Danio rerio: one gene and its partners. The protein of the gene in region 1 interacts with the protein of each later gene in a biochemical or structural test. Links are inferred from orthologs where the notes say so. Each region holds a gene or a part of one and is shown on either strand. Other genes may lie near its edges.

The links.
Region 2: the proteins of cops5 (region 1) and mif form a complex in vitro, tested with the Homo sapiens proteins (2 studies listed by BioGRID). The link is inferred for Danio rerio from reciprocal best matches to the Homo sapiens genes COPS5 and MIF.
Region 3: of the proteins of cops5 (region 1) and ikbkb, one has a biochemical effect on the other in vitro, tested with the Homo sapiens proteins (2 studies listed by BioGRID). The link is inferred for Danio rerio from reciprocal best matches to the Homo sapiens genes COPS5 and IKBKB.

Annotation. Positions count from the first base shown.
Region 1 is NC_133199.1:27,632,195-27,642,885, reverse strand, and holds the start of cops5 (COP9 signalosome complex subunit 5), read right to left. Parts: upstream 5,404-10,691; 5' UTR 5,224-5,403; coding exon 5,087-5,223; intron 4,986-5,086; coding exon 4,751-4,985; intron 3,228-4,750; coding exon 3,099-3,227; intron 2,702-3,098; coding exon 2,636-2,701; intron 2,554-2,635; coding exon 2,468-2,553; intron 2,353-2,467; coding exon 2,241-2,352; intron 1-2,240. Other genes in the region: pign (GPI ethanolamine phosphate transferase 1), read left to right, coding at 6,693-6,919, 9,028-9,149, 9,224-9,322, 9,404-9,510. UniProt on the Homo sapiens protein: Probable protease subunit of the COP9 signalosome complex (CSN), a complex involved in various cellular and developmental processes.
Region 2 is NC_133189.1:53,745,239-53,755,904, reverse strand, and holds the start of mif (macrophage migration inhibitory factor), read right to left. Parts: upstream 5,141-10,666; 5' UTR 5,028-5,140; coding exon 4,920-5,027; intron 4,046-4,919; coding exon 3,873-4,045; intron 1-3,872. Other genes in the region: uncharacterized protein si:dkeyp-121d2.7, read left to right, coding at 9,127-9,424, 9,585-9,706.
Region 3 is NC_133183.1:3,624,278-3,634,484, reverse strand, and holds part of ikbkb (inhibitor of nuclear factor kappa-B kinase subunit beta), read right to left. Parts: intron 3,593-10,207; coding exon 3,468-3,592; intron 392-3,467; coding exon 292-391; intron 1-291.

The DNA of each region.
Region 1 (10,691 bases):
TTATAACAATATACAATTGCATGTATAATAGGGCTGCACAATATACTGTTTCAACATCAATTTTGCAATGTGTGAATCAGCAATATTCATATCGCAGGATATGCAATGTCAAGTTTGTAGTTGATCAGCATCACAGTTCTGAACATGGGATTTGTGGAGTCATTGCAAAGTTTCACCCTAAAATAGAGTGTAATATTTTCATTTAGATGAATTTTTAAGACCTGTGACTGTGTATGATTTAAGCAAACCTAAACCAAAAGGTTATAAAGGTATATAAACCAAAATGAATTGTATTTAACTACTTGTACTATGAAGACTGTACACTATACATTGTTATTTTATCTGTTATTATAAAATTTCTATACCTTAATACTATTAGATTCCGCAGAAAACCATCACATGAATTTATATTTGTTCAATACAAAATGTAAAACTGTACAAAATGTAAAAACATGAATTCATTCCAAATGGAGTTATACGCCATCTTGTGAACTTACAGTGCTCAGCATAATTGAATACACCCCATTTTGAATATTTGTATCCATTTCTCAGTAAATATAGGCAATGTATTTTGGTGCATTTAAACAAAACAGATTTATAAAACAGATATATTTATTAAAAGAATATTTTAGTCACCAAACATGTTTACAAATTGTAAGATAATACAATTAAATTTAAGCAAATTAATGCAAAAAATATTTATATTTATTACCTACAAAATTTCAACAAAAATTTTCAGTTTTTTTTTGTTTCACTTAATTTTTTTTTCTGTTTTAAAATTTGTATTTAATATTTTTTATAACATATGAATTTGACTGTACTAGTTTTTGGACCGTTATCGTAAGTTATTTTGTTAGACAAGCTCCAGATTTGACTTCAGTACAGACTAGTCTAATGTTTATGCACACATATATTATTGTAAAGCTTCCTATTAAAAATTTAAAAGACAGATTTGTGAAGGGTGTACATATATATGCTGAGCACTGTATGTTACTATCGCAATATACATTGCAGACAAACTAAATATTGCAATATGAGTTTTAGTCCAACATCATGCAGCCTTAATAATAGAACTATAAAATGAGAAAAAAATTATATTTATGCTGTTTTTACTTTGCTTTATTTTGGCAAAAATTTGAGGGTTAATTTCTCATTGGAAATGCTTTTTTGGGGACAACAGATTTTGAAATCATTCTTTTCTCTTCTTTGTAAAAACTTTATTTTGCAGAGATTATTGTACTAATGTTTTGCTTCTTGTACTAATGTTTTGCTTCTTACACTGTCTTTACACACCTGAAACTTGCCTACAGCACTTATTCATTGTTGCTCTTATAGTTGTGTAAATTGCTTCCTTGTCCTCATTTGTAAGTCGCTTTGGATGAAAGTGTCTGCTAAATGACTAAATGTAACTGACAGTTTAATTGCAAAAACAGTTTACATACAACATTCGTTACAGATTTTATTTGACTCCTTTATGGGAAAAACAGCAATTGTGATTTTTAAAGATAATACAGATCCCCTTCACTCAGCTTTTGAAATGTTACCATCGGGACCAAGCTTAAAATGCATGGAACATGAAGAAATACTTATAAGAAGTCATTTATCCCTATTGCAGTTGTATTAAACCTTACCACTGTTTAATGTGAACGGTGCGGTTGTTAAGAATAATCTGGAGTAATATGTATGGGGCTAATATGGTTGTCTTGAAGAGTGTTGCTATTATGTTATTGTTGTACGGTTTATTTATGTTACCAGTGTAAAAGACAAATTTCCTTTCTGTGCCAAGCAGAAAAGATAATAATGTTTAAACTAAAATTAACATAATGTAGCTTTCAGAACTGAAGCCCTTTAATTTAAACAATTTACAGGGAAAAGGTTGAAAGTGATTTTCTATGCTCCTCAATTTTTCATTGTATTTGCAATCTCTTATATAATAGAAATGAATACATGCATGCCTGCTTCATAAAAGCTATATTGTCACCCTTCATCACATTTACTGTAGATGTTTTTAGAAACTGGTCAGAAATTCAGATTTTGGATTTTTTGTATTTATATTTTTGTAACAATTTACAGTGGTTCAGGCCATTTTTTGATTTAAGAACAAATTCCAAGCAAAAAAAAAAAAAGGCTAGACTTAAATTTATGCCGTTTATATTAAGTAATCCAACATGACAGATGATGTTGGCACATATCTAAATGTAATATATATTAATTTTACACCAATAAAAGTGTGTGCTTACTGTCAGTAGGCTTGAGGAGCTCAAAGTGTTGACCCAATACTTATTCCACAGCAGCTCTAGGAGTTTGCGGTCCAGGGAAGACTTAAAATAAGACACTTCTAATGCATAATACCTAAAAACAAACAACAGCTTATCGTTAACTGCAAGTCAATATATTTTCAAAATATAACAAGTGCATAAAAAGGCTAAAAAAAAGGAAATATATTCAATATGTCATGCACACTTACTGTTTGCAATGCACTCCAAAATCCTCAATTTTGTTAAGAGGTATCGTCTGGTATTCAGAAGGACCCTCATCTGGAGGCTTGTAACCCTATTTTTAAACATTTGAATGTGATTCAACATCTTATAAAACGCATATAAATTAGATACAGTTGCCTAAAAATAGTTGCTACCTTCGGATATGTCCTGAAAGCTCCAAGATTGACCTTCCCTGCGGATATAGTCCTTGTGGGATCGATCTGAGGATGAAAAATTACAAGGACTGAAATTAGCAAAAGAGTTCAGTCAAATATAACAAATAAAAACAGTAAGCTGCCAGTTTTGCGAGTGAAAGTTATGAACGCCAGCTTGCTATTTGCCCTCGGCACTACATAAGCAATGAAGGATAAACTGTATAATGTATTCTGTTACAAAGGCAACAGTCATTAATCAGACAGCAGTACAAATGTCATCAACTCATTTGTGTCTTGAGGGTCAATTATGGATCACTGATAAAGCTGAATTTAAACCGATACTTTTAACTATTTCATAGCGGAGCTGTTTTCCCCTTGTGTCTTTTGAGATGGATGGTAACCCGCTTTAAAGAGGGAAATCAGCAAAATATGCAACAAGTTTAACATTTCCAACAGCGCTTACCACTACTGCGACAAAGGGCTCTTGAAACTGCTGGTTAAGCATCTGAGTGCTGACATCTATGCCTGAAAGCCAGCAGCCGTATCCTGGATGACTGTGGTACCATCCAATGGCATTCTCCAACCGCCCCACCTAAATAAATATATAGACAATTAACCTCAGAATTATTGAACTTCCATATCAATTCTTTCATATGCTGGTTATTGCGAATTGATGCATAATGTGTTTATACATTTATAAAGTGCATTTTTGAGTTCCTGTCGCTTGTCAAATTTTATTTTTTATTTTATTTTTAAAATCATATTTAATGGCAAATATATCTCAATTAATATTAGACCTTTCAATCTGAATAATAATAATATTAATGATAATTATAATAATAAAAAATCTTTAAAATATTGTTAGAGTAAAAAATTAATTTGCTTGTTCATTTCTGTTCCTGTATTGCATCTGTTAAGTATTTAAATTTTTTGTAGTATTTATTAATTACTTTGATGTGATAAACACATCTGTGTCCTTACTGCATGCAGTCCCTCAATAGTAAAGTATGAAAACTGAATAAAAAAAAAAAAAAAATTATATTTATATAATAGGGCTGCATAATATACTGTTTTAAAATTGATACCGCAATGTGCGCATCTGCAATAGTCACATCGCAGGATCTGCAATGTCGAACCGTTATTATAATTGACCAGGAACCACATTTGAAAACACTCATGATGTGTGCAGTCATTGCAACGTTCAACCATAAAGTTACCAAAACCTTCACTATTTCTGTGCGTTTTCACCATTTACTCTAGCAAAAGAAATTACATTTCTAACTTTATGGTTAGAATGGTTTCACACTGGATTATTAAATTTGTAAATCTGAATATTGCTAGACTTCTAGAAAATCATAAAGCACTGTATATTTTATTTGCCTTTTATTTTCTATTTGTTCTCTACTGTATTGGTTTATTATATTTTATGTGGACCCACTCCCTTACATTAGAATGTCAACGTATCGAAAACTATACATTCTTTCCAAATAGACCTTTTTAATTTAATAGCATTCAATTTCTTTTTGTTTCAAGTCCTGTGACAAGAATTCTGTTCCGTCTCTCAATTAATATTAGAAAGTAAAGACTAAATAAATAATAATTATAAAAGATCTAGGATGATTTTTAGAGGAGTATAGGAATACAATTCATGTTTATTTTAGTTCTGGTAACTGTTCACTTTTTATTTTAGATTTTTTTTTAAATCACATTCGAGTTTATTAGATTTAAATGGTTCTGTGATGCGATACATATTTAGATGTCCAACTACTTCATATATTCTCTCTATTAATCCTAAACATGAAAACAGAATACAAACCAATAACTTTCTTTACTCTTTAAATTGTAATTTTTATATACACGTTTTAAAAAGGTAACCACAACATGTAGCTTCTCACATAACATTGGATCAATCCTAAAAACGTAATGCAGAATAATTATAAATAACAATTAATAAAATATTTGTGATGATATTGCTCTTGATTAGAAAATCTTAAAGATCAGCATACATGCTCCACATATAAAGCAGTGGATATGATCATGTTTATAAACAAACTGTGCTTATATTTATCACTATTCATCTAATATGAATTTTAGAGTAATTATAAGTCAGTGTACCTGTTTAGCATTCTCTATATAAGCAGCCATGTATTCATAGGCTGCAGCCTGAGCGTTGACTCTGGTTTCAGTGCCTTCCACTGGTAAAGCAAAACTGTCCATGATGATCATGGTCTCTCCATCCACCTTCCCCAGCATAAGTCCCATCACCTCCAGGTTTCCTCCAGATCTAGCGTGCATCACCATCTTCAGCAGTGCCAACGCCGATAGCTTGCAGTATTTAAAATAATGATGACTGTAAACAATTAAAACAGTGTAGGTTACACAACAGTGGTATTAATAATTCGAAAACAAGCCGGGCCTCTAGGAGACATCATTTTGGTTTTGTTTACTTACTCTTTAGTCCACGGTTTGGCCGCCAGAATTTCTTGTTGTTGTTTTTTGTCATATTTATATATTTCGTCGATACTCTGAACTTCCTGCATGCTGTTTGACAGCTCCCATGTTTTCATCGCTATGCTACTGCCAGCCATAGCTAATACTACAGTCGGCTTATATCTTCTGTTCGACTATAACGAAGTATGATTAATAACACTCGCAATTAATAAAATATGAAGAGCTAGATAATGTTAAAATTGTGTAGTTTATCTAACTATTTAAATAGATCATTTAGCAATAATTAACAAAGCTCTTGCAGTACTCCTTTTCTGAACAACTCTACAACCTGAGTGAAGCGAAGCGAGCGACCGTACGGGTTACTAAGGAATAAAATTGATGCCAAAATAAGAGTCCTGAACGCAAACCGACCGCTACTGTTTTACAGTCTATGGCACCGCCACTGTTTCTTGATATATTCGTTTTTGTTTAGTTGTTTATCTAAGATATGGTTCGATCTATGTCATTTCTGTTTAATGACCCACTTCGTAATGTGACAAAATAGTGTTAAAAATTGATCTACCTAATTATTTGCAAATAATAGAGGTCATATTTGGTCTATTTCTATTTGTATTATATTATAGAATTATGATATTGTATTTCTGAATATATTAATTATTAACACATTTACTTTCTTAAAAAATAATTATCCTCTTTAATTAAACTTGTATTTATTTGTCTTTATTTGTCAATTGTTTTAATATTTTTAAAAATTGCATGTTGGATAATTTATAATATGTTATGTACTCATATTTGTGTCAGTTATTTCATTATTTTTTACAATTATTAAATTGTTTATTTTTTATTTTATATCTCAATATAATGTTTGATTGTTTATTTTAAACTAATTTATTGTTTAAAGCATTTAAAATTTACGTTTCTTTTTATATATTTTATTCTAAATTTTTATTTTTTTATTTTTTTTGTGCAATTTTTTATTGTAAAAAGGGAGAAATTTCAGTTGAATCAAATAAAGTTGTAAACAGTCATAAACTCGCTGGCATTTTAAAGCACCTCTTTTGTTTTTATGAAAATATTAACGTGGCGTTAAAAACTACATTTCCCAAAATGCACTGCGCAGACACAGTTCAAAGGTTACTGCTACAAGGAAGTGCAGAAAAGTTCTCAGTTAATCTTCTTACAAACTATTTGGTTTAGCAGGTCAGAACTCAAAGATACAAAAGCACCTTAAAACAGATTAAAAGCCCATGCGCGGGTTTTGCTTCAGGGCGTTTCGTTCCCGCGCACTCCTGCTCTGCCCGGTGCTTTCATTGACAGATTAACGTTACATGATACCTTTATATGTCTTCTGTCCACCTTCAACTAATCAGCTTTATGAATCTGTTTCAATCTCAAATTAGCAGAAAGGTAAGTACAATCTTAAATAAACCCCTAACGTTACTTTTAAAAAAATGTTGTACAATATAACTTATTTGAACCTACTGTCCTGCTAATGTAAAACTAATTCATAATAAAAATCTATTAGACTAATAACAGAATGTTTTCATAAATTCATTTGTGTATCTTCTTTTTGTAAATCAGTGTCAAAGGTCTGACTGGAGACAAGATGAAGATGGTGACATTCTTCGTTGTGGGACTCATTGTGCATGTAGTCTTCTTTCTCTGCATATTTGACATTTATTTCACATCTCCTCTTGTCCATGGAATGACTCCTCAGCGGGTCTCTCTGCCCCCTCCGGCCAAGCGCCTGGTGCTGTTTGTGGCAGATGGTTTGAGGGCCGACAGCCTCTTTAAGCCAGACGACAGTGGGACATCCAGGGCTCCTTACCTAAGGTGACGAACACTGGATAATCTTTGTCCTGTTTACCCATGTGCTCCAGAGAGTTCAGAATTGTTTATGTTAGTCATTAATGTCTAAATAATATCTATTAGTCATGCTTAATGTTAAAAATATTCACCATCCTTCATGATTTCATAAAAAAAAAAAAAATTCACCTAAGCATTGCATTTAATATTCCATTCATTCATTCATTCATTCATTCATTCATTCATTCATTCATTCATTCATTCATTCATTCATTCATTCATTCAGAGTTATATGTATCTAAGTGTTAAATCTATTTAATAGCATAGTAGAAGTTACATTTTTACAAAAACACATCCTCATACAGTATATTGTGTAAAAACAAACAAAATAGATATGTATTTTATAGGTAAAACTACTTAATTTAGTTTACACTAAATAAAATGCATATAGTACAACTTAATTTACTAATTACATTTTATGCATGTATTTATTTATTCATTATTCTGTTGGATAAAGTTTTTCTGATCACACTTTACAATAATGTTTCATTAGTTAAATGTTTATGTATTTACTAACATGAACTAATAATAATGAACAATACTTGTACAGCATTTATTAATCATAGTTCAGCATTTACTAATGCGTTATTAAAATCCTAATTCATGCTTGTTAACATTGTTTAATACAGTGAGTTAATGTGAACTAAGATTACATAACTTTATTGCCATTAATTAGAGTTAACAAAGCTGCATTTAATACTGTATGTGTTGTTATTATTTGTTCATGTTAGTAAATGCATGAACTAATGTACCTTATTGTAAAGTATTACTATTAATTTTACCATATTTCTTTTTACTTTAACGTCATCTTAAGGACCACTAATGAGCTCCCCTTCCCACCAGTTTATGCCTGTCATACATTAGGGCCTCTATTTTAACAATTTAGGGGCAAAGTCTAAAGCGCATGGCACAAAAGCATTAAGGGCGTGACTGAATCCACTTTTGCTATTTTAAGGACAGATCAGTACAGTTTGGTCTAACAGGGTTGTGCTTATTCTCTTAATGAGTTCTGGGTGTGTTTTGAGCATAACGTGCATTTAAACAATCTCTGTTTGAAAGTCTGATCTCCCATTTCCTTTAAGAGTCAGTTGCGTCATGCCAGGGTGCGTTTTACATCATTTACATGATGAACTTTGTAAGTGGAAAAACTGAATGCTTTACTAGCGAGAAAACAGTTAAACAGACCATCTGTTCAAGGATAAAGAATGAGCCACCTCCATTCGACCTCTTTACTTTCTCTTTATTTTACTTTACTCTTAACCTTACTCATTTACTTTCGTGGACAAGGAAACGGTGTTGCACAAACTACATATTTAATTTCGTTTGTTAAGCACAGAGATTTGTTTCAGAACTATTTCTAAATTCAGTTCTAATTTCCCGCAAAGGAATAAATTAACAATAATAACAAAGTGTAGTCAAAAATCTGAGCTATATCCAAACACACATACTATTCTTATGCCCCATATGGTGTTGCATACGTCTCCATAACCTGACAGGTGGACAAATCTAAACCTTTGTTAAAACAAATATAAATTTGTGTATAATAAATATTAGTATTAATAATTTAACATCATACAAATGCAAATTATACAAAAAGCCCCCCAAGGTGAAGAGGGCATGGAGGTAGTGGTTGTTATATTTATAAAGAAAATATTAATTTTTGTAATATTTTAATCCTTAAATTTTTTCATATTTGTGTATTGCTGCACATCCTGTGTGTATTAAGTAATGTGTACGTGTTTTTGGAATGGCATATGCGCTGGACTTGGTTAGTGGCGCAGAATATTTCAGTTCCTCAAAATAGCAGCGCTCCAACAAAGCTCCTTAATGCACCCCCCTTATAGAGCTGAACACTCATGAGTCCACAAAGTGGCAAAAATGGATTTGCTATTTAAACAACATGGCCCAAAAACATGAAAATTAGGTTTGCACTGGTCTGAAAATTGGAACAAACCACGGCAAACACATCTTGCGCCTAATTGCGCCGGGTGTATAATAAGGCCCTTGGTGTATACAGGTATATTGTTTTATTTATTTGTGCTTTTTTTTTCCTTCATGCTGTTTCCTGTCATAAGGAGTGTGATTGAAGAGGGCGGCACATGGGGAGTTTCACACACACGGGTCCCTACTGAATCACGCCCAGGACATGTCGCTCTAATAGCAGGCTTTTATGAGGACGTTAGTGCTGTTGCCAAGGGTAAGCAGTCATATCTGTGTTTGTATCTAGCTTTCTATGTGTGTAAAATCAATCATGTGCGCCTGTGTTTCCAGGCTGGAAGGAGAATCCAGTGGAGTTTGATTCTGTCTTTAATGAGAGCAGATATACCTGGTGTTGGGGAAGCCCTGATATATTGCCAATGTTTGCTAAAGGTATAACCACACACCTACGAGTTGGTCTGGGGAAGCATGTTGTTTTTATCTGGTGGTCTTATCAGCATGTGTGTTTTGTAGGTGCCACTGGAGACCATGTCTACACTCACACTTACCCTCCAGAGCGAGAGGACTTCGCCTCCACTGATGCTTCCAGACTCGACACATGGGTGTTTGATGAAGTGAAGGTAGGACGCTCTTGTGCAATCACTTCATATTCATTTATTATGTGTAGCTTTTCAATGCATATTGTCATTGATATGTAAAAAAATGCTAGAAATTACAATATTTGTATGTAAGTTTAAAAGAAATGTTAGCAGAACTTTATAAAATAAAACAAATATTTTTTTTACAGAAACCCTAAAAATCCTGATAAACTGAGAATTTTCAAGTTGTCTCTATTTTTTTCCACTAGTTGTTTATATCAATGCAGCGGGGAAAATAAGCATTAAAGACTTGATGTTTCCTGAGAATAATATATATCTAAAGGAGCTGTTGACATGGAATTGAAACAGATTTTGGTAAAAACCTCAATAATACAAACATAAAAATACAACAAAAACCTGAAAAATGAGTTATGTGTGACAACAATGAAATGACACAAGGAGAAAGTTCTGAACTACTGAACCGTATGTAATACTTTATACAAAAGGCTTTTTTTGGTGATGGCAGCTTAAAGATGCCTCTTATATGGAGAATAAAGTCCCATGAATTGCTCAGGTGTGAGTTTTTCACAATGTTCAACAGGATGTAAAAATCTTGATGGTTCTGTGGGTCTCGTCTATCAAATCTGATGTTTATTTTGTATATTATATCGGATTCAGTTCAGGTGATTGGCTGGGCCATTCTACAGCTTGATTATCTTTCTCTAAAACTATTTGAGTTTCCTTGGCTCTGTTTTGGATCATTGTCTTGCTGAAATGTCCATCATGGTGGATCATCTTCATCATACTGATAATGTATTCATTGGACTGAAGCAGCTAATATTCATTTACAATGAAGAAGGGCAGAGGGTTGCTGAATAACTTCTGAGAGTTTTCTGCTGCTGTCAGGGCTTTCACTACCTTTCTATACCTCCCTTTCTTTATGTGTTCAATACTTTTTTCCTGTGTCATTTCATTTATTACACATAACTTAATTTGTAAACAAATTAGATTTGTTTTCTTTGCAATTATTGATTTATTTGGTTGTTACAACATCTGGGGTAAATTTCAATTTCAACTCAACAGCACCTTTAGAAATATGTTTTCTGAGAAAAATGGTGACATATTCAATACTTATTTTCCCTGCTGTATGTAATATATCACATAAAGCTCATGTATAAGGCTTTCTTGATCAAAAACAGTAAAATGTTACACACTCAAAAATA
Region 2 (10,666 bases), on another chromosome or scaffold:
AACCGCCATATAATGACATGTGCAGGTGTTTTAGTGCTGTCCCATTACTTAGGGGTACATTTTGAAATATATTGACTTAAAATAAATTTTTGTTGGTAGTAAAGCGATTGATACATAGACAGACACAGACAGATACAGACAGATAGATAGAAATAAACTGTAGATAGATGGATAGATAGACAGGCGGACGAACAGATAGAAACTGTGAATGGATGGATGGATGGATGGATAGATAGGTAGACCGATGGATGGATGGATGGATGGATGGACAGAAAAAAATAAACTGTAAATAGATGAATAGATAGACGAAGGGACGGACCGACAGAGATAGATAGATAGATAGATAGATAGATAGATAGATAGATAGATAGATAGATAGATGGGTGGATGGGTGATTAGATAGATAGATAGATAGATAGATAGATAGATAGATAGATAGATAGATAGATAGATAGATAGATAGATAGATAGGTGAGTAGATAGATAGATAGATAGATAGATAGATAGATAGATAGATAGATAGATAGATAGATAGATAGATAGATAGATAGATAGATGAGTAGATAGATAGATAGATAGATAGATAGATAGATAGATAGATAGATAGATAGATAGATAGATAGATAGATAGATAGATAGATGGGTGATTAGATAGATAGATAGATAGATAGATAGATAGATAGATAGATAGATAGATAGATAGATAGATAGATAGATAGATAGATAGATAGATAGATAGATAGATAGATGGGTGGATGGGTGATTAGGTAGATAGATAGATAGATAGATAGATAGATAGATAGATAGATAGATAGATAGATAGATAGATAGATAGATAGATAGATAGATAGATAGATAGATAGATGGGTGGATGGGTGGATGGGTGATTAGGTAGATAGATAGATAGATAGATAGATAGATAGATAGATAGATAGATAGATAGATAGATAGATAGATAGATAGATAGATAGATAGATAGATAGATAGATGGGTGGATGGGTGATTAGATAGATAGATAGATAGATAGATAGATAGATAGATAGATAGATAGATAGATAGATAGATAGATAGATAGATAGATAGATAGATAGATGGGTGGATGGGTGATTAGATAGATAGATAGATAGATAGATAGATAGATAGATAGATAGATAGATGGATGGGTGGATGGGTGGATGGGTGGATGGGTGATTAGATAGATAGATAGATAGATAGATAGATAGATAGATAGATAGATAGATAGATAGATAGATAGATAGATAGATAGATAGATAGATAGATAGATAGATAGATGGATGGGTGGATGGGTGGATGGGTGATTAGGTAGATAGATAGATAGATAGATAGATAGATAGATAGATAGATAGATAGATAGATAGATAGATAGATAGATAGATAGATAGATAGATAGATAGATAGATAGATAGATAGATAGATAGATAGATAGATAGATAGATAGATAGATAGGTGGACAGATGTGTGGATGGACAGACAGACAGATCTTCCCCTTCCCCTTTACACTTTCATGGGCAGAGGGGAAGGGGGTAAAGGTACAAAAATAGAATTAGGATTGGGCCTTATACACTATAATAATAAGTCTGAGCTACTAAATATAAACGTCAAAACTTGTATTTTAATTTCATTTTTTTTGCAGGGGGTTTGTCAAGCTCACTTACCTGCAGAGTACACCAAGATATGCAAGATGTGTTCAGACTTTTAAGAATTAGTGTAGTATTTTTTTCATAAGGGCTGTAACTTCATTTAATATGCTGTATGTATGCTGTATGTACATATGCTGTATGTTGAAGTCAGAATGATTCGCCAACCTGTGAATTTTGCTTTTTTTTTTTTTAAATATTCCCCAAATCATGTTTAAAGGGCCATGATACTCCCAACTTTCAGTTCAAGTCCACCTCAGAATTTTTTCAAAAGATTCATCCTATAATAATATAATAATTTGATTACTGATGTCCATGTAAACACAGTCGCTGTCTTTCTCCCCTGCTTCTATGTGTTGTTTTGCCTCTGAGAAAATCAGCGCATGCCCAAATGGAAACTCCCATTTTTATGCAAAATCTTCCCTCTTTCCCTCCCTCGACACTCCAACCTAAACAGAGCTGGACACACCCCCTTTCCTGACTTTTTCCAAACTAGAGGTGTGAAAATACCCTGCTGAAAAGGGGTTTCCTGGGGATTCAGGAATTTTTCACAGTATTTCCTACAATATCTTTTTGATATAAAATTTCTTCTGGAGAAAGTCTTATTTGTTTTATTTCAGCTAGAATAAAAGCACTTTTTTTAAAAGCATTTTAAAGGTCAATATTATTAGCTCCCTTAAGCAATATTTTATTTAATAGTCTACAGAACAAACCACTGTTATACAATGACTTGCCTAATTACTCTAACCTGCCTGATTAACCCAGTTAAGTCTTTAAGGGCTCTATTTTGACGGTCCATGCGCAGAGCGCAAAACGCAGGGCGCAAATGCTTTCAGGGCATGTCAGGACGCGTTTTTGCTAATTTAAGGACGGGAAATCTGCCCTGCCCCGCGGCGCATGGTCTAAAAGGGTTGAGTTTATTTTCTTAATGAGTTATAGGTGTGTTTTGAGAATAAACCAATCAGAGTCTCATCTCCCATTCCCTTTAAGAGCCAGCTGCGTCGCGCCAAGAGCGCATTCGCTATTTACAGGACGCAAAGTAAGTCTAAGTGGAAAAAATGATCATTTCACAAGCAAACAGTTCACAGTTAACAGTTTATTAACAGAAAACTGTTAAACAGAGCATCTACTGCGTGAGAATGAGAGATAATGGATCTACTTTCACATTCGCTCTTGAATAGGGAAACCTTTACGCACAGACATCAATTAGTCTATAAATAAATAATTTTGTTTGTTAAGCGCAAAGATTTGTTTCAAAACTGTTTCTAAATTCAGTTCTAATTTCCAGCAAACGAATAAATGAACAATAATAGCAAAATGTGCTCAAAAACCTGAGTTATATCCTAAAACACATGCTGTGCCCCATATAATAAAACAAATATAAATATGGATATAATAAATAATACTGGTAATAATAATAACATTATACAGAAGCAAATTGTTATGAATGAACTGAAAAAGCCTCCGGAGATGAAGAAGGCATAAAAGCAGTGATTTTTCATATTTATGTAGGCTAGAAAATAATATGTTTTGTAATATTTTAATCCTTTATATTTATATCCTATATCTATTATTATTATATCCTATATATATCCTTAATATTTACATTTTTTCACATGTAAAAATATTTGCCTATTGCTCTCTTGTGTGTAGGCTATTAAGCAGTGTGTAAGCGAGGCGCAACTCTGCGCCGGAGTTTAGACCGGGTTAGTTTTAGTCTAATGAAAAATCTATTATAGATTCTCAAAATAGCAACGCGCCAGCGGTCCGACTCAGAACGCCTCCTTTTTAGACCAGAACGCCTATGAGCGCACAAATGAGCGCTAATGCATTTGCTATTTAAACAGCGTAGCGCAACGCCTCAAAACGACTCTTGCGCCAAGCTGAAACTACCAAAAGACTAATGCGCCACGCCTTGCGCCACACTGCGCCGGGTGTATGATAGGGCCCTAAATGTCACTTTAAGCTGAATACTAGTATCTTACTGTCATCATGGCAAAGATAAAATAAATAAGCTATAAGAAATGAGATATTAAAACTGTTTTGTTTAGAAATGTGTTGTAAAAAAAAAATCTCTCCATTAAACAGAAATTGGGGACATTTTTTTATAAAAAAAATAATAATAATTATAATAATGCTAATAATTCTGCAACTGTACGCACAACTGTACGCTAAAATGTGTGCATAATAAAATGGCCATCAGTGTGAATGTACCTGTCAGCAGAAACGCCGAGGTGTTTGTTGAGTAAACCCATGAGGAGTTTGGAGTATTGTTTATTCTGCGCGCCGCTGATCTTCCCGATGCTGGTGAGCGAGCAGAGCGCACACGGGTCTCCTTTTCCCCCGAACATCATCATCTGATCCGGCACAACCTGTACGGCGATGTACTGTCACACAGACAAACACAGAGAAACACTACAGCTCAGTACTTTATAATACAGTGCAATTAAAATAACACAATTTTAGATGTTAGGCAGCACAGTGGCTCAGTAGTTAGCACTGTGGCATCACAGCAAGAAGGTCGCTGGTTCGAGTACCGACTGGGCCAGTTGGCATTTGTGTGAGGAGTTTGCATGTTCTCCCCGTGTTTGCATGGGTTTCCTCTGGGTGCTCCGGTTTCCTCCACAGTAAAACACATGTGCCAAAGGTAAATTGAAAAATTTTAATTGGCCGTAATGCATGTGTGTGTGTGAATTAGTGTGTATAGGTCTTTCCCAGTACTGGGTTGCAGCTGGAAGGGGATTCGCTGTGTAAAACATAAGCTGGATATGGTGTGGTGGTGGAAGTGGTTCATTCCACTGTGGCTGATGAATAAGGGGACTAAGTTGAATGAAAATGAATGAATAATTAGTAAGTTCAACATGACGTTCTAGTAAATCAGTGAAATACACAAGCACGTGGTGCTGTGTAATGAGATAACGCAAATGCGTCATGACGTAAAAGAATCAATGAATCGTTTTTTGAACTGGTTCTTTCGGTTAATCGAACTGATTCACGGAAATTAGTTTGCCTTCTAATCACTTGAGCATCTTAAATCAAGACTAATTATTACGCATAATCTGTCTATATTTAATTTAAGATTAAATTTAATTAAGAACGAAAATCCGAGTCGACCTCAAGCTGCAGCTAAGAGGATAACTTGCGCTAGCGTGTATGTTTTGAAACTCGTAACAGTGCTTACAGTTTTCTATCCCATCTAAACTAATATGCAAAGTCATACGATAAAATACGGCAATAAGTAAAATAAAGTAGGTAACTAACCTGCTGGGGTTTGCCCATGGCTTTGGCGAGCTCCTGCGTGGCCTCCGACAGCAGCTCCGCCGGAACCGAGTCTTTAGCAACATTTGTGTTCACTACAAACATCGGCATGACTGCGACAGAGATGAACAAAACTACTTTACAAAAAAAGTGCAAGTCAGAAGGATCAAACTCCTGCAGGAATGACTCCAGATGTGAGGCTCTAGGTTGAAGGAGGCGGGTATTATAACGCGAAGCTAGTGTGCTTCTTGTAGACTACCGTAAAACCCCGCGTGACCCAAATAAGGATGCAGATTTGATGCAGCCTCAGCAGCGGTTGCTGCTAGAGGAGATACAGCTGCGAACGCAAGTTAAAGAGGATTATTTATTTATATTATTTATTAAATTACCCATTAATTGTATTTTACTAACGTCTATACCTTAACCATAAACCCAACCATCACAGTAATGTAAAATCAGTTAGGCTATATCGAGTATTTTTCATATTGTTTATTATTAAATTACCCATTATTACTTTTTCAACATCTACCCTTTTCCTTCGGCTTTGTCCCTTTTTTCATCAGGGGTGGCCACAGTGGAATGAACCGCAAACTTATCCAGCATATGTTTCACACAGCGGATGCCCTTCCAGCTGCAACCCAGTACTGGGAAACACCCATACACACTCATGATATGCTGTATTAATGTGAGTATCTGCAGCTGTATCCAAGACTGTACCCTCAGGGCAGCACTATGTCCTCTTTGACATAAATAACCATAAATAAACGCCAGTAAACAACTAAAACAATTAAATAAATGACAAAAATTACTTTTTTTTATTTATTAACTGTAAAAAATTATGAATGAACTGTGTTATTTTATTAATTGTTTCTTTTAGTTCTAATATTTTTATAATTTCTTTTAATTGTATTTACATTTGATTTGATTATTATTTTATTAAAGGCGCAGTTCAGCCTAAACCTTACTTAAAATAAGTTATTTAGAAGAGAAAATTTAAACCATTGACTTCGATAGTAGAGAAAAAATACTATGAAACACAATGGTTAAACAGGAGTTCAGCGATGTTATTTTGTGTTTAACAGAAGAAAGAAACCCACCAACGTATCCAGCATGTTTTACACAGCTGATGCCCGTCCAGCTGCAACCCAGTACTGGGAAACACCCATACACACTCATTCACACTCATGAAATGCTATATTTACGCGAGTATCTGAAGCTGTATCCCAGACTGTACACTCAGGGCAGCACGAGATGTGGAAACTGTCATCTTTGACATAGATAACCATAAATAAACGTCAGTAAACATCTATAACAAACAAATAAATGGCTAAAATTGCAGTTTTTTTATTTATTAATTAAGTATTAAGTTTTATTAACGGTTATTTATTGTCTGTAAATAATTATGAATAAACTTTATTATTTTTTATAGTTTTTTTATACTTCTAATAATTTTATAATATATAATTTCTATTTACATTTGATTTGATTATTATTTTATTACATGCACAGTTCAGTCAAAACCTTACTTAAAAGAAATTATTTGAGAAAAAAAACTGAAACCATTGACTTCTATAGTAGAGAAACACAAATACTATGAAACTCAATGGTTACAGGATTTGAGAATTTTTAAAATATCTTATTTTGTGTTTAACAGAAGAAAGAAACTGGTTTGTAAATGATGACAGGGTTTTTAATTTTATGGTGAACTATCCCTTTCACTGACAAAACTTCTATTTGATTAATAATACTAATAATATATTAATTAATTAATTTTCCTTCAGCTTAGTCTCTTTATTCATCAGGGGTGGCCACAGAGGAATGAACCACCAACTTATCCAGCATATGTTTTAGGCAGCGGATGCCCTTCCAGCTGCAACCCAGTACTGGGAAACATCCATACACACTCAATCACACACACACACACACACACACACTCATACACTACGGCCAATTTAGTTTAATCAATTCCCCTGTAGCGCATGTGTTTGGACTGTGGGAGAAACTGGAGCACCCGGAAGAAACCCACACCAACACGGGGAGAACATGCAACAGTGCTAACCACTGAGCCACTGTGCCGCCCCATTAAAAATAAATAATAATTAACAAGCAAAACAAGCAAAGCAGCATCATAAAATGTAAAAAGATTACAAATGAATTCCACTTGTAATATGATGCATGGTAAAGTTGTATACAGCAAGTGCAGACAAATAGACTGCAGAAACTAAACAATAATAAAGGAGAACATAATAGTAATAGCATTTTAGTTTAATGCTAAAAATATATAAATTATAAATGATTAAGTGTTTAATGAAGACAGAAACTGAAACTAAATATTAATGAAAGATCATTTGCAAATCAACTGCAAAAATAATAAATAAATAAATAAATTATATATATATATATATATATATATATATATATATATATATATATATATATATATATATATATATATATATATACTGTATATATATAAATTTTTGTCAAAAATTGAGTTATTGACATGCTTATTAAATGACAACTTATTTACATTATGGGATGTTTGGGATGTAAAAGTTTTTATTTAAAAAGCAAATGTTACACACATACTGTTTGCTATAGATTGCAAAAACTGTTAAGCTCAATATCTCAAAATCATTCAGAACGCAGAGAGAACCTTATAATTCCAAGCTGACGATATATATATATATATGTATAGATAGATTTTATATATATATATATATATATATATATATATATATATATATATATATATATATATATATATATATATATATATATGTATATATATATATCACAGCAAGAAGGTTGCTGGTTCAAGCCCCAGCTGAGTTGGCATTTTTGTGTGGAGTTTGCATGTTCTAGCTAGTGTATGTGTGTGAAAGAGAGTGCGTGGGTGTTTCCCAGTAAAGGCTTGCAGCTGGAAGGGCATCCGCTGCGTAAAACGTATGCTGGATTAGTTGGCAGTTTATTCCGCTGTGGCGACCACTGATTAATAAAGGGACTAAGCTGAAAAGAAAATGAACGAATATATATATACATATGTTATACGTTACGATTAAATTAACAAGATGGCTAACACATACATACATATGCTACGTATATAGTGTTACGCTTATTAATTAATTACATTTATTTTCATCAGCTCCTGAAACTACGTTATTATAATAAATATATTTTTAGTGGGTGGCATGGTGGCTCAGTGGTTAGCACTGCATGTCGCCTCACAGCAAGAAGGTCGCTGGTTCGAGTCCTAGCTGGGTCGGTTAGCATTTCTGTATGGAGTTTGCATGTTCTCCCCGTATTGGTGTGGGTTTCCTCCGGGTGCTCCGGTTTCCCCCACAGTCCAAACACATGCGCTATAGGGGAATTGCACTATAGGGGAATTGCATAAACTAAATTGGCCGTAGTGTATGGGTGTGAATGAGTGTGTATGGGTGTTTCCCAGTGATGGGTTGGGGCTGCAGGGGTATCTACTATGTAAAATATATGCTGGATACGTTGGCGGTTCATTCCGCTGTGGTGATCCCTCATAAATAAAGGGACTAAGTTTAAGGAAAATTTATATTTGTAGTGTAGCACATTTCTAACAAGTTATGCAGCTCAAATTGTGTTACAATAAGCATCACAACAGCAGACTTCACATGAAAACAGCAAACACATATTATTGATATGACATTATAGTACTTTTTTTTGTTTTGTATTCAGTATTTGCATTTAAACCAAACCCCATGCTAACCAGTTAACACCTTGACAGTTATGTTCGAGTAATTACGGTAGCTCCTGCGCATGCGCAGAACGCGACATCCGGAAATAATATTGTAGGCGAGAATTAAAACCTCTAGAGTTGAGAGGGGTGGTCGAGACTCGGTGGAATTGTGATAACGCACCTGTAAAACATCAGCGAGAATCTTTTCTAAACTACGACCACATTTACGAGACCACCTGAGGTGGAATATCATCCTCTAAAGGCTCTCTTTCTGCGATCTTAAAGACAGCGGACAGAAGAACGGGCTTCACTCCACTGGCTGAGCGCTACAAAGTTGGGTGACAGTCGGTGATGTCAGATTATTTGTGTATATTTTACTCGGTGTAATAGCGAAGCGTGCATATTAAATATGAAGTCTGACCATTGCTGACATATATGGCGTAAAAACGGGGATTTTGTTAGTCATAACTTTATTTATTATACGTGAATAGTTGTGAAACCATGGCGGAGTCGGTTAAAACCTTCCAAGCGCACCTGACCGCGGTTATGGACAGTCTGGTCCGCGCGTCAGTGTGCGAGATCACCAAACTCTTCCAGGACACAGTCAACGACTACCTGGTGGAAATCTCCCTGAACAGAAAAGAGAACGAAGCTCTTAAATTGAGACTGAGGTTGACTGAGAATAAACTGAGGAATGAGCGCAAATACGGCATGGGCTGGGCGGCCGGTCGGCGCGCGGCGGGGCTGCTCGGCGCGGAGGACACCGCCGTGCGTAAAGCGCGCAAAGCGGATCTCCAAAGTAAGATCCAGCGGGTGATGCTGCTGTTTTATCGAGAACCATCATGGCGACCTGCTCCTCAGTTCTCATGTTTCTTTCTCCTTCCTCTCCTCCTCCTTTTGCATTCCTCCCTCCCCCTCCTGTTCTCCTCTCCTCCTTCCCCCTCCCGTCTGTTTCTCAGGAGGCAAGCCGGGGGGAGCGTGGGAGGAGCGGGCTGGAGGAGGGTTTCGTGCCCGTCTCAACACTGGAGGAGGAGAGGATGTGGAGGAGGAGATGAAGGAGGTGGCCAGCATTAAAGAGGAGGTGAGTAGCCAATCATATGCGAGGAAACATCTGCAGGGAGTGGAGGAGACAGAGAGAGGGTGAAGAAACATCGACTAAACAGTGCTTCAAAGTAGATTTTGATGGATGGAAATCTACACAGAAGGTCATCACTGAAAAAAATCATTGGATTTACTAAGTGGTATTTAAGGTAAGTGGTTGCAAACTATTTATATCAGCTGGATTTAAACAAAATAAATGTCTTCAACTTAATTTGTTTGTTAAAATTCAGCCCATATAAATTGTTAGCAACCACCTACCATAATAATGTAGTAAATCCAATGAACATTTTTTTTCAGTGTCAGCAGTCACACCTCCGTTATCCTCATCTACACTGACAACAGTACCAGCATTTTAAACAACTTCTTCAGTGTTTTTAAAACTCTTTGTTTTCAACGGCACGAAAACTCCAGGGTATTCAATTCAATTCATCTTTATTTCTATAGCGCTTTTACAATGTAGATGGTGTCAGAGCAGCTTCACATAGAAGATCATAGTGAATTAAAACCGTGTCAGACCAGTTTTCAGGGTTTAAGTTCAGTTTAGTTCAGTTCAGTGTGGTTTAATATTCATTGCTGAGAGTCCAAACTATATTCACTGCTGAGAGAGCCAATCCATCAATGTGCAGCTCTACAAGTCCAGAACCAAGCAAGCCAGTGGTTTGCCACGGCCTGGTCCGGGAATGTGGAAACATTGGGATCATCTCTTCAAAACATTCACTCTGTTGTCCTTTAAGCACATTTTAACTAATTTGGCAGTATGCTTCGGGTCATGGTCTGTTTGGAAGACCCATTTGTGGCCAAGTTTTAATTTCCTGGCTGATGTCTTGAGATGTTTCTTCAGTATTTCTACATAATGGTCTTTCTTCATGATGCCATCTATGCTGTGAAGTGGACCAGTCCCTCCTGCAGCAAAACAGCCCCACAACATGATGCTGCCGCC
Region 3 (10,207 bases), on another chromosome or scaffold:
ATCATGATGCTATCATGTCAATATGGAGCAAAATCTCTGAGGAATATTTCCAGTAGCTTGTTGAATCTATTCCACAAAGGATTAAGGCAGTTCTGAAGGCAAAAGGCGGTCAGACCCGGTAATAGTAAAGTGTACCTAATAAAGTGGCCGGTGAGTGTATATCATAATTACTTAGGATGTGCAACATTTCTTATAAATGACACTAATAAACATTCAGTTTATTACTTTAACATCCAGTAGCATCTCTTTGTAATGAAGTGCAGTAGTTGTGTTTGTGAGTTCGCTGCTCACCTGCATGCTGCTCTCCGTCTCCTGAATGGTGTCTTGCACTAAACTCTGCAGGCGGTTCTCAAATATCCTGCTTTCCTCAATCACATGCAGAGACTCCTCGCTGAACACACACACACACACACACACACACACAAATGAGAGAGAGAAACACATGACGGAAACATGCGAATCAATGCAGTGTGTTTGTTAGAAGTCATGTTTCAATGCAAACTTGTGCTCAAATCTGTAATATCTCATAAAACATTAGTGAATAAAGCAGCGTTTCCATCCAATGAGTCAAAGAGAATAAAATCATCACTTCCTGATAAACTGGAGCAAATATCAGACAGGGAAACATAGTTTAGTGCGGTAGAGAAGCCACCGTGGTGTTTTTCTTCTCTAATAAATGAGTTGTGTCTTAGAAACAAAGACGATATAAACGCGGTGAATGCGGTGGCTTCTGGAGGCGTGAGATGCTCTGTGGGAGCAAAGGCAGATGCTCAAGACAGTTCTGGAGGGAATAATAACAGAACAATAGTAATACTGAAGCTCTATGATGACGGACTGACGGCTGAAGCATTTTACACTCAGCAAAACAACATTTCAGATCTGCAACAATGTGAAGCTGCAAACTCCATTAATGCAAAGTCTCTGAAACACACATTTCTATCATCTGTTCAAACTAAATCAGGGCGTTACTGATGCGCATGCTGGAGTTTATTCACTAAATGTGTGTCCATCTTAGTTTATGAGCATTTTGTCGTATCCAATTAAAGGGTTTGCGTGTATGTAATGTATGTGCATATCTTGGGGTTTCGATCAAGCAATTTCATGCAGTATTCCAAAATGTGCATTAAAATATGCAGGGCTCGACAATAATGGCCCAGAGCCAGCGTCTGAGATGCTCGGAAAGGTAGGCAGAATGGTTACTGGCCGGATCAGGTCAGTGCTGCCTTGTCACTAAACTTTATGGCTGTGAATGTTTGTCAATTGCGTGCAAATAGGGCGCTTTCACACCTTGTTTGCCCAGCTAGAGGGGTTCCCGCAATTGCGCTCAGATCCACATCGAAACAATTGGTCTGAGATCGCCTGAATGAGGTGATTGAAACGAACTCGGAGTGAATCAAAAGCAAAATGATCCAACGAACTAATGATCCAGACTTTACACCAGTGTCTTATGATTGTGTAATAGCCATATATACGGCTGTATGAAGAGAGAATGATGAGCAGCGCGAGATGTCATTCCTACAGGAAATGTGTGTTTCATGTCAAATATAAAAGTGAAAGCATGCTGAAATATTAACAAGAGCTCTTTATCTGTTAGGAAAATGTAAAGAATTTATCATCTGATCATTTTTCCATATTTTAATCTCATTATATTTCGTGTTAGGCCTGTTGTTTTGTGCATTTCTGCACTGACACCTCGACAGAAAGATCAACATTGATCCGCTTCATGATCTGACTGCAGTCTCTGTTCATCTGTTATTTCTCTCTATAATGAAAGCCTATAATGCAGAATTTTTTTTCAGGTTTTTTTAATAGATGAATTAATTCAATTGATAGATTTTTACAAACTTGACAACTGAAATAAGGCCATGTATGAGAAAGTCTGACCTCTCTGATTTATATTTGGTGACGATGTCCGTGGCTATCAAAATTAAAGTGCACATTTTCACTTAAATATTTACACAACAGTTCTGTCTGGTTCTCGAATCTGATTGGCTGATAGCAGTGTGATATTCTGCAATAACAGCACTCGTACAGCCTCTTCACCTTTGTGTATTACTCCGCCCACATAGAGTGACAGTCGATCAATAAACTCACTACAGTTTGGCAAATATTGCAGCTGTTGGGCAACATCATGAACTTTGAGTTTTTGTTTTAGTGGAGAATGTAGTTGTTTAGATTGCAACTATGCAGTTTATTTATAAGGATAGTGCCTATTTTAAATACTTCTAATTTCTGAGAGACAGTGCGTCCCCATCTATCAGTTGTTCAGATTTTTACTTGCCCTGCCAAAATTTTCTCTGGCCCCACCAAAAAAAAGAGAAGTTAATAGCTATTTCTTTAGCCACATATTATAAATAATGTGTCAAAAGCCAAACATAACTTCAACATAACTTTTCTTTAAATACAACTAACAATTTAAAAAATTACAATTGAGATGTAAATTTAAAAAAAATATATATATATTTGTATTATATATTATATTATATATTATGTATTATATTTGTACATTGTATGCAGTTTATTTATAAGTACAGTGCCTATTTTAATACAGTTACTTTCCTATCCTGGTCCTTAACAGTGTTATTCAGAGACCTCCCTGAACACCCCCTCCTTATCGCAAACACAACAGCAGTCTGGTAGTGATTGCGTTGCTTTTTTTCATGGTTAATTATTGTGATATCCCAATTGCAACAGAGAAATACTGTAGACAGTAACACTGTGAGAAGAAATCTCTGTAGACGGATGGCATTTCATGTCACTTTCAGCCTTATAATCTTAAAATGTGAGCAAAATCAGCTGCTTTGTCTTCACTTTAGACATTACGCTATAGAGAGTCATTCAAACACTAGCTCTATTGTTAAGTTGGTGAATTAGTAACGGCTTCTGCCGTTCTGACGTCAGCTGTTGATGTGAATGAATGGCGGAAGAAAGTAGTTCCTAATACAAAAGAGTTTTTAGACTCTCCGTGTTTGATTTTCTTTTTTTTTTAAAATACGATTGTGCCGTCGAACTGTTGTATAAACGCAATATTACACAAGTAGCAGTGCGATGTGGCTGTAAATCAGCACTGGTGGGACACTAAGACACTTGGCCTGCAGCCTCGTGCCAACGCATGCCTCCCACCAGTGCTGATATACAGCCATATTGCACTGCTACTCGTGTGATATTGCTCATATATATAATTATTATTATTTTTTTTTAATTTACATCTCAATTGTATTTTTTTAAATTGTTAGTTGTATTTAAAGAAAAGTTATGTTGAAGTTATGTTTGGCTTTTGACACATTATTTATAATATGTGGCTAAAGAAATAGCTATTAACTTCTCTTTTTTTTGGTGGGGCCAGTGAAAATTTTGGCAGGGCAAGTAAAAATCTGAACAACTGCCCTGATCGTGCCAGCAGAAAAAATTGTTAGCGTTGAGCTCTGATATGTGTATGGAAACACAGTCAGTGTCTCTGGACTCACGTGTGTGGGCCGTCTGATGGGGGGCTGCTGGGATGTGAGGGTCTGTGGGACATCAGCTGGGGTGTAGGGGCCGGTGGAGTTCGCCCTCCGTCTGGACTGCCACTCACTGGACTGCGAACTTTACTCTGAAACACACACACAAGGTGAGTCTCGCACAAACACACACATTGTGTAGGAGCAGTGCTCCAAAAAGTAATTAATTACAAATGACTAGTGCCAGACGGAATCTGTGGACGCTATTTGATATTTCTGCGCAGTATTTTGTTAAAAATCTGCAGATTTCTGCGGAATTATTTTGGGATTATCATAACTAAAATATTAATACGTCAAATAACAAATAATATCTTTTTAACTTTTATTTAAAGTTTAAAATGCAAATCCAATTAGATCCACTTTACTTGGTGGCAAGTCTCTCATATAATACATATAATATATCTACCAAAAGACTTTACAAACTGCATTGTACATAAATCAGATGAACATTTTCACATTAGTTCCTGTAATTTAAAAACTGAATAAATATAGATTTACACACATTTACAAAAGTAAATAAACAGAATTAATGATGGGCTAAAAATATGCGGAAAATCTGCTGAATTGCAATGGCTGCGCAGATTCCGTGTGGGCCTACTAATGACTAATTACTAGTGCTGTCAATCGATTAAAAAAATTAACTAATTAATCGCACCTTTTTAAAAAAATTAATCGCATTTAAAATACTGAAACTTGTAATTTTGGCTATTTAAATGTAAAATTAATTTAAACACAAGACAAAAACTATTTAAATTCAAAATATAATTGTTTAATAGAATTTTTGTTTAACTTGCAACACAGATTTCTTCATGCAAACAACAAACCCACAATAAACAATCAAGATCCTGGCTTGACAGCCATATTTATTACAGAAATTAAAACACAGTCATGTTAATGACATTTAAATTTCAAAACAATCAATGCCAATAAAGAAAACATTGATTTCCATGTTGGATTCTTAGTGGACTGCAAAAAAATGCCAAAATACAGGAATTGCAGATGAGGAAAATGAAAAATTATAATAATAAACTATTGAATACAAACTGTTGCACTCATTGTAAAGTTTTATTGCTGTGAGTTGAGAACATTAATTATAGAGTAGAAACAATTTTGCTTAATCCTCCTTTACATTCATCCAGTTGCTAAGACTAGGAGTATCCTGCAAGTGCACAGAGACTCCCAAATGCCCGCAAATGAATGATAATTTCTTGCAAACCGGTCGTTAAATACATTGCACACCCCTCTCGCCCCTACTCAGATACGTCGCTCACTCCACCCCTGACACCCCTCAACATGCCTGACACAGACACACACACTCAGACACACACACAACGCGCTGCAGACGTTTTGGCCCCAACGGCCTTCCATACTGGAGCGACTCCCCTCAGATTCAACACGCATGATCACGTTCATCAAATTCGCTTAAACTAAGCGCCCTAAAGTATTACTGTATTTCACAAGGATTCTGACACAACAACGCGAAGCATACGCTTTCGTTGCGTTTAATGAAACTTTTTTTAATGAAGCATGAGCTAAGCTTGGAGGGCTCATGCTGAAAGGCAGAGTAATGCCCTGTCTTTGACAGCTCGCGACTTCACCAGACGTACTGAGTACATTTACATAAGACACCAATACTCCGATTTTAATATGATTAAGATAATACTCTTAAAATTCTACCGTGTAGCCTTAAAAGGAACCTTACCGTAAAGGAACACCGAGTCACGAAATGCGGAGGATTTTCTTTCTGTTCGCCATGCGGTATCAACTTACAACAGATGTCGAAAGTTAAAAATGAAACACCCGAAATTGCATGAAACTCTGGATAACCTGTGATGCAACTAATTGTTTTATACTGAACTTGCCTTCAAAAAGTGCTTCCTTGGTCTTATCCACATTTATTACATGTTGAACACACGTCCACCACAACGTGTGGTTTATTCATAAACTAATTTCGAGAGGATCACGTGCTTATAATTAACACGGCTGGCTCCTTGTTAGCTCCGTAATCAACCCTATTAGATGATTACAGAAGCATTATAAATAACCTGAGTTTTTCACTCCAGTTATCTTCGTCTTGAATCTCCCCCCCCTTTCCACCCCTAAATCCTCCCACTTTTTCTGATCGGGCGACACGTTTGCCCAGTGGCTAGCACTGTTACCTCACAGCAAGAACACCGCTAGTCCAACCCATCGGGCTGGTTGGTGTTTCTGTGTGGAGTTTGCATGTTCTCCCCGTGTTCGCGTGGGTTTTCCCCGGGATCCCCGGTTTCCTCCCACCGTCCAAAAACATAAACCATAGCCAATCGACTAAAACAAATTATCACCCAATACAACCTTAGTTTACACTTCCCACGGTGACAAGCAGGGGAGTTCTCGAGACCTACCTGACCTCAAATTCCCCTCTCGCCCTTCTAACGGGAGGGAGCCCCGGGCTCGAGGATATTACGAGCTCAGGGCTCTCTCCCGGGACAGCATGCCAAATACGCTTTATTGATTATAAGCTAAGTGTGAACTCTTGAAAGGAAGGAAAAAAAACCTGCATGCGTTAATTGCGTTAATTTTTTTTAACGCGTTAATTATTTAAAATTAATCGCATGCGTTAACGCGTTAATTTTAACAGCGCTACTAATTACAAAATTAAAACTGTATTTAAATTACTTAAATCATTCAGTGAAGTTTATTTATAAACTAATTTCGAGAGGAGCACGCGCTTATGATTGATAGCACCTGGTTCACATTAGCTAACACTGATTTGCCCATCAGACGACTCCTTAACCCCTATAAATAACCAAAGTATCTTACTTCAGCCATCTTCATCTTAAAGAATCCCCCCTTCCACCCCTACTCCTCCTATTTCCTTGTCAGGGCAGCACGGAGACCAAAATCATGTAACATAAGTAAATTGACAAATCTAAATTGACAGCAAAGACACCCTGCAATAGGGGGTGGGGGGTTGGGGATAGGTGGAGAGGGTGCCACGGGCTCGAGGATATCACGAGCTCAGGGCTCTCTCCCAGGACAGCATGCCAAACACGCTCCATAATCAATCATCAGCTAAGGGCGAACTCTTGAAATAACTTTAAAAACGATATACAATGTGTTTTGTTTTCCCTTAATATTAAAACCTTTATTGTGTTTACTTGTGTAATCTTTGACTAATATTTACAATTGTTGGATTACCTGAAAAATGCTTGTTTACATGATGTAAAAAATGTCTCTAGAGTGTGTGTGTGTGTGTGTGTAAAGTTCAGCTCAATATACCACAGAAATAATGTTTTCTAACTCTCTGAAACTGACCCTTTTAGGCTTTGATCCTAATTGTGTTGTTTTGTTGACTGTCGATTTACATTCAAATCGACATTTACATTTTACTTTACATTGTACTTTTTTTTCAAAAGTGGGCGGAGCTACAAATGCCTGTGTGTCAGCATAGTGGCAGATTCAAAAACAAGACTAACATCCTATGCTAATGATTGAGAGATGGGCTGTTTCTGAATATGCGTTCATCAGCGGTCTTGTGTCCCCGTGTTCTTGTGCACTCTAGAATTCCCGAAAATCATTGCGACTGGAGGTGGGAAGCGCAGCATTTTGTTTCGATTTATTATTAAAGTTCAGAGATATCACTTATTTATCTGAAGAGTTTCCCTAAATAAAACGGTGAATATAAATGTAACCCCCATAGAAATGGGTTTACCAAACAGTGTAGTCACCAATGGGTTCCTGTAGAGGGCGCTCCCCAACTTCTAGAGAGAAAGCCGGTTTTCCTTTTCTTTTGTGGACACAGTCAGTGAATGTTCCTGAACATGCACGCGGGAGAGCTTTGAGTTTATATAAACCAGTGAATTGTGCTGTATTTTCGTTTATTTTAATTTAGAAGTTAATCTTTACTCCAAACATCATCGACTGAACGACACTTTTTTTTTTTTTTTTTTTTTTTTTTTTATTGGTTTTAATGAACATACAAACGTAAACAAAAAAGGCCAAAGACAAATATATCAGTAGACAAATATAGCAGCAAAAGGCAAAGAGAAAAAAAAAAAATCTATAAATAAATTATTTCAAAATAATAATAATAAAGAAATAAATAAACATACCAACAAAATACCAAAAAAAATAAAAATAAAACATAATACACAAAGTTATGCAGTGATTAAGGTCACACATATTGTGAAAATACATCAGATGTGTTCATAGAGTCAGAGAATCATTAGAGGCATCCATATTTTTTGAAAGGCATCCCCTTTGTTTTTTAAGTAGTATGTATATTGTTCCAAGGGCATTGTTTCATTCAAGAGTTTTATAAAGAGTTCAAATGTTGGAGGTTTTTGTTGGTTCCAGTTGAGCAAAATGCATTTTTTTGCTAGATAGGAGATGATGCCGAGTCTCTTTATAGAAATAGGATCAAGTGTCTTGTTCAGTTCTGTACCAAAGAGGTATAGTGTTGGTGTGTTGTCCAATGGAACTTGCAAAGCTTTGGCTGTAAAGTCCTGTACTGCTTTCCAGAAAAATTTTAGCTTTTTGCATTCCCAAAAAACATGCATGATTGATCCTAAATAGGTTTTACATCTGTGACACCTGGGTGATACATTAGGGTACATTTTGCTCAAACGCAGTGGGGTCAGATACATCCTATGTATAAATTTATAATTTTGTTCAATTATTCTGTTATTGGAAAGGGGAATGAAAGTATTCTGGCATATAGCCTCCCACTGATCGTCATTAAAATTATATCCCAAATCTCTTTGCCACACGTTTTTAAGTGATCCCAGTGAAGAGTTGTAATATTCTAATAGTGCAGAATATATCTCCGAGATTTTTCCTTTTAAAGATTCAGAGTTCACCAAAATCTCCTCTATATTGGACAGCTTTAGGGATAGTTGACCTCTCTTTTCGTGACTAATTATCAAATGGCGAATTTGCAGATATTTATAAAAATCCTGTCTTGGTATCTTGAACTCTTGCCTTAAGTCTATGAAGGATTTAAGAGTATCATTGATAAACAGATCTCGGAACTGACATATACCATGTTCTTTCCACTTTATAAACAAAGATTTCCCAAGCGAGGGTGGCAAATCTGGGTTAGGGGACAGAGGGGCTAGCATAGATATTTTAGCAGAGAAACCACAAAACCTTTTTGCATCTTGCCAGGCCCGAAGAATGTTGTGGATAACATAGGTTCTTGTCACTGGGGGTAATTTTCCCATATTGTTAATGAAAGGAAGAGATGTCAGAGGTATAGGTGAGCAAAGAGCTTCTTCAATATCTGTCCAGTGAGCAGTTCTTGATGGTTGTATCCAACCAATCATCCCCTTTATCTGCGCAGACCAATAGTATAACTGTAAGTCAGGAAGGCCTAACCCTCCTTTCTCTTTTGTGTTAGTTAGTGTTTTAAAAGATATTCTGGGTGTAGAGTTCTTCCAGATAAAAGAGCTTATCAGTTTGTTAACATTTTTGAAAAAATCTTTATTTAAGTAACAGGGCAAGGATTGAAATAAAAAATTAATTCTTGGTAATATATTCATTTTTATTACATTAATTCTTCCAAGCAGTGAAATGGGGAGCAAATTCCAATGTTCCAAATCTTCCTTAATCTTTTTAATAAGTGGGGGGTAGTTTATGTGAAATAAATCTTTGAGATTAGGAGAAACATTCACCCCTAAATATTTAAATCCAGTCTGAGACCAGGTGAAAGGTGAGATGGTCTTTAGCTTATTAGAAATTGGCATGTTCATTAAAAATGCATTAGACTTTGATAGATTAATTTTATAGCCTGATATTCTCCCAAATGTATTTATCAGATCTAGTGCTGCTGGTACTGAATTTTCTGGATTATTTAAGTACAGGATTATATCGTCGGCATATAGTGAAATTCTGTTTTCTATTTTATCAATACAAATCCCTGATATTTTACTGCTGAGCCGTACGGCCTCTGCAAATGGTTCGATGGCTAAATTAAATAAAAACGGGGACAGGGGGCATCCCTGCCGACATCCTCTATGCAGACCAAGTTTTTCGGACAGAGTCCCATTTACACATATTTGGGCTTGCGGGTTGCTATACATAGACTTTATCCACCCAAGACATCTATCGCCAATATTGAATTTCTTTAGAACTGAGAATAGGTATGGCCACTCGACCCTGTCAAACGCTTTTTCAGCGTCCAGAGATATTATTAATGCTGGTTGTTCGTACAGGGCCGAGTGGTCAATTATATTTAGTAATCGTCTAACATTGTCAAATTCATTTCGAGTTTTTACAAAGCCAGATTGGTCAGGATTGATAAGTTTGGGCAGTAAGTTTTCTAATCTACGAGCGATTAATTTGGATATTATTTTAAAGTCAACAGGGAGCAATGAAATAGGGCGGAAAGAACTACATTCTGAGGCATCTTTATCTTTCTTGTGTATCAAGGATATTGCAGCTATCTTCAATGTTTCGGGAAGAGTTCCATTTTGAACAAAATCTGTAATCATTGGCATAAACAAGGGTTCAATCTGAGGCCAAAAGGCCTTGTAGAATTCTACAGGATATCCATCCAAGCCCGGTGCTTTTCCAGTGGGGAGTGATAAAATAGCTTGAAACACCTCCTTTGAAGTAAATGGAGAATCTAGTAGTTCCTTTTCCTCCTCAGATATTGAGGGCAAGGATATCTGCTGCAAAAACAACTTTATATCAACTTCAGAGGGGTTATCTGATGTATAGAGCTT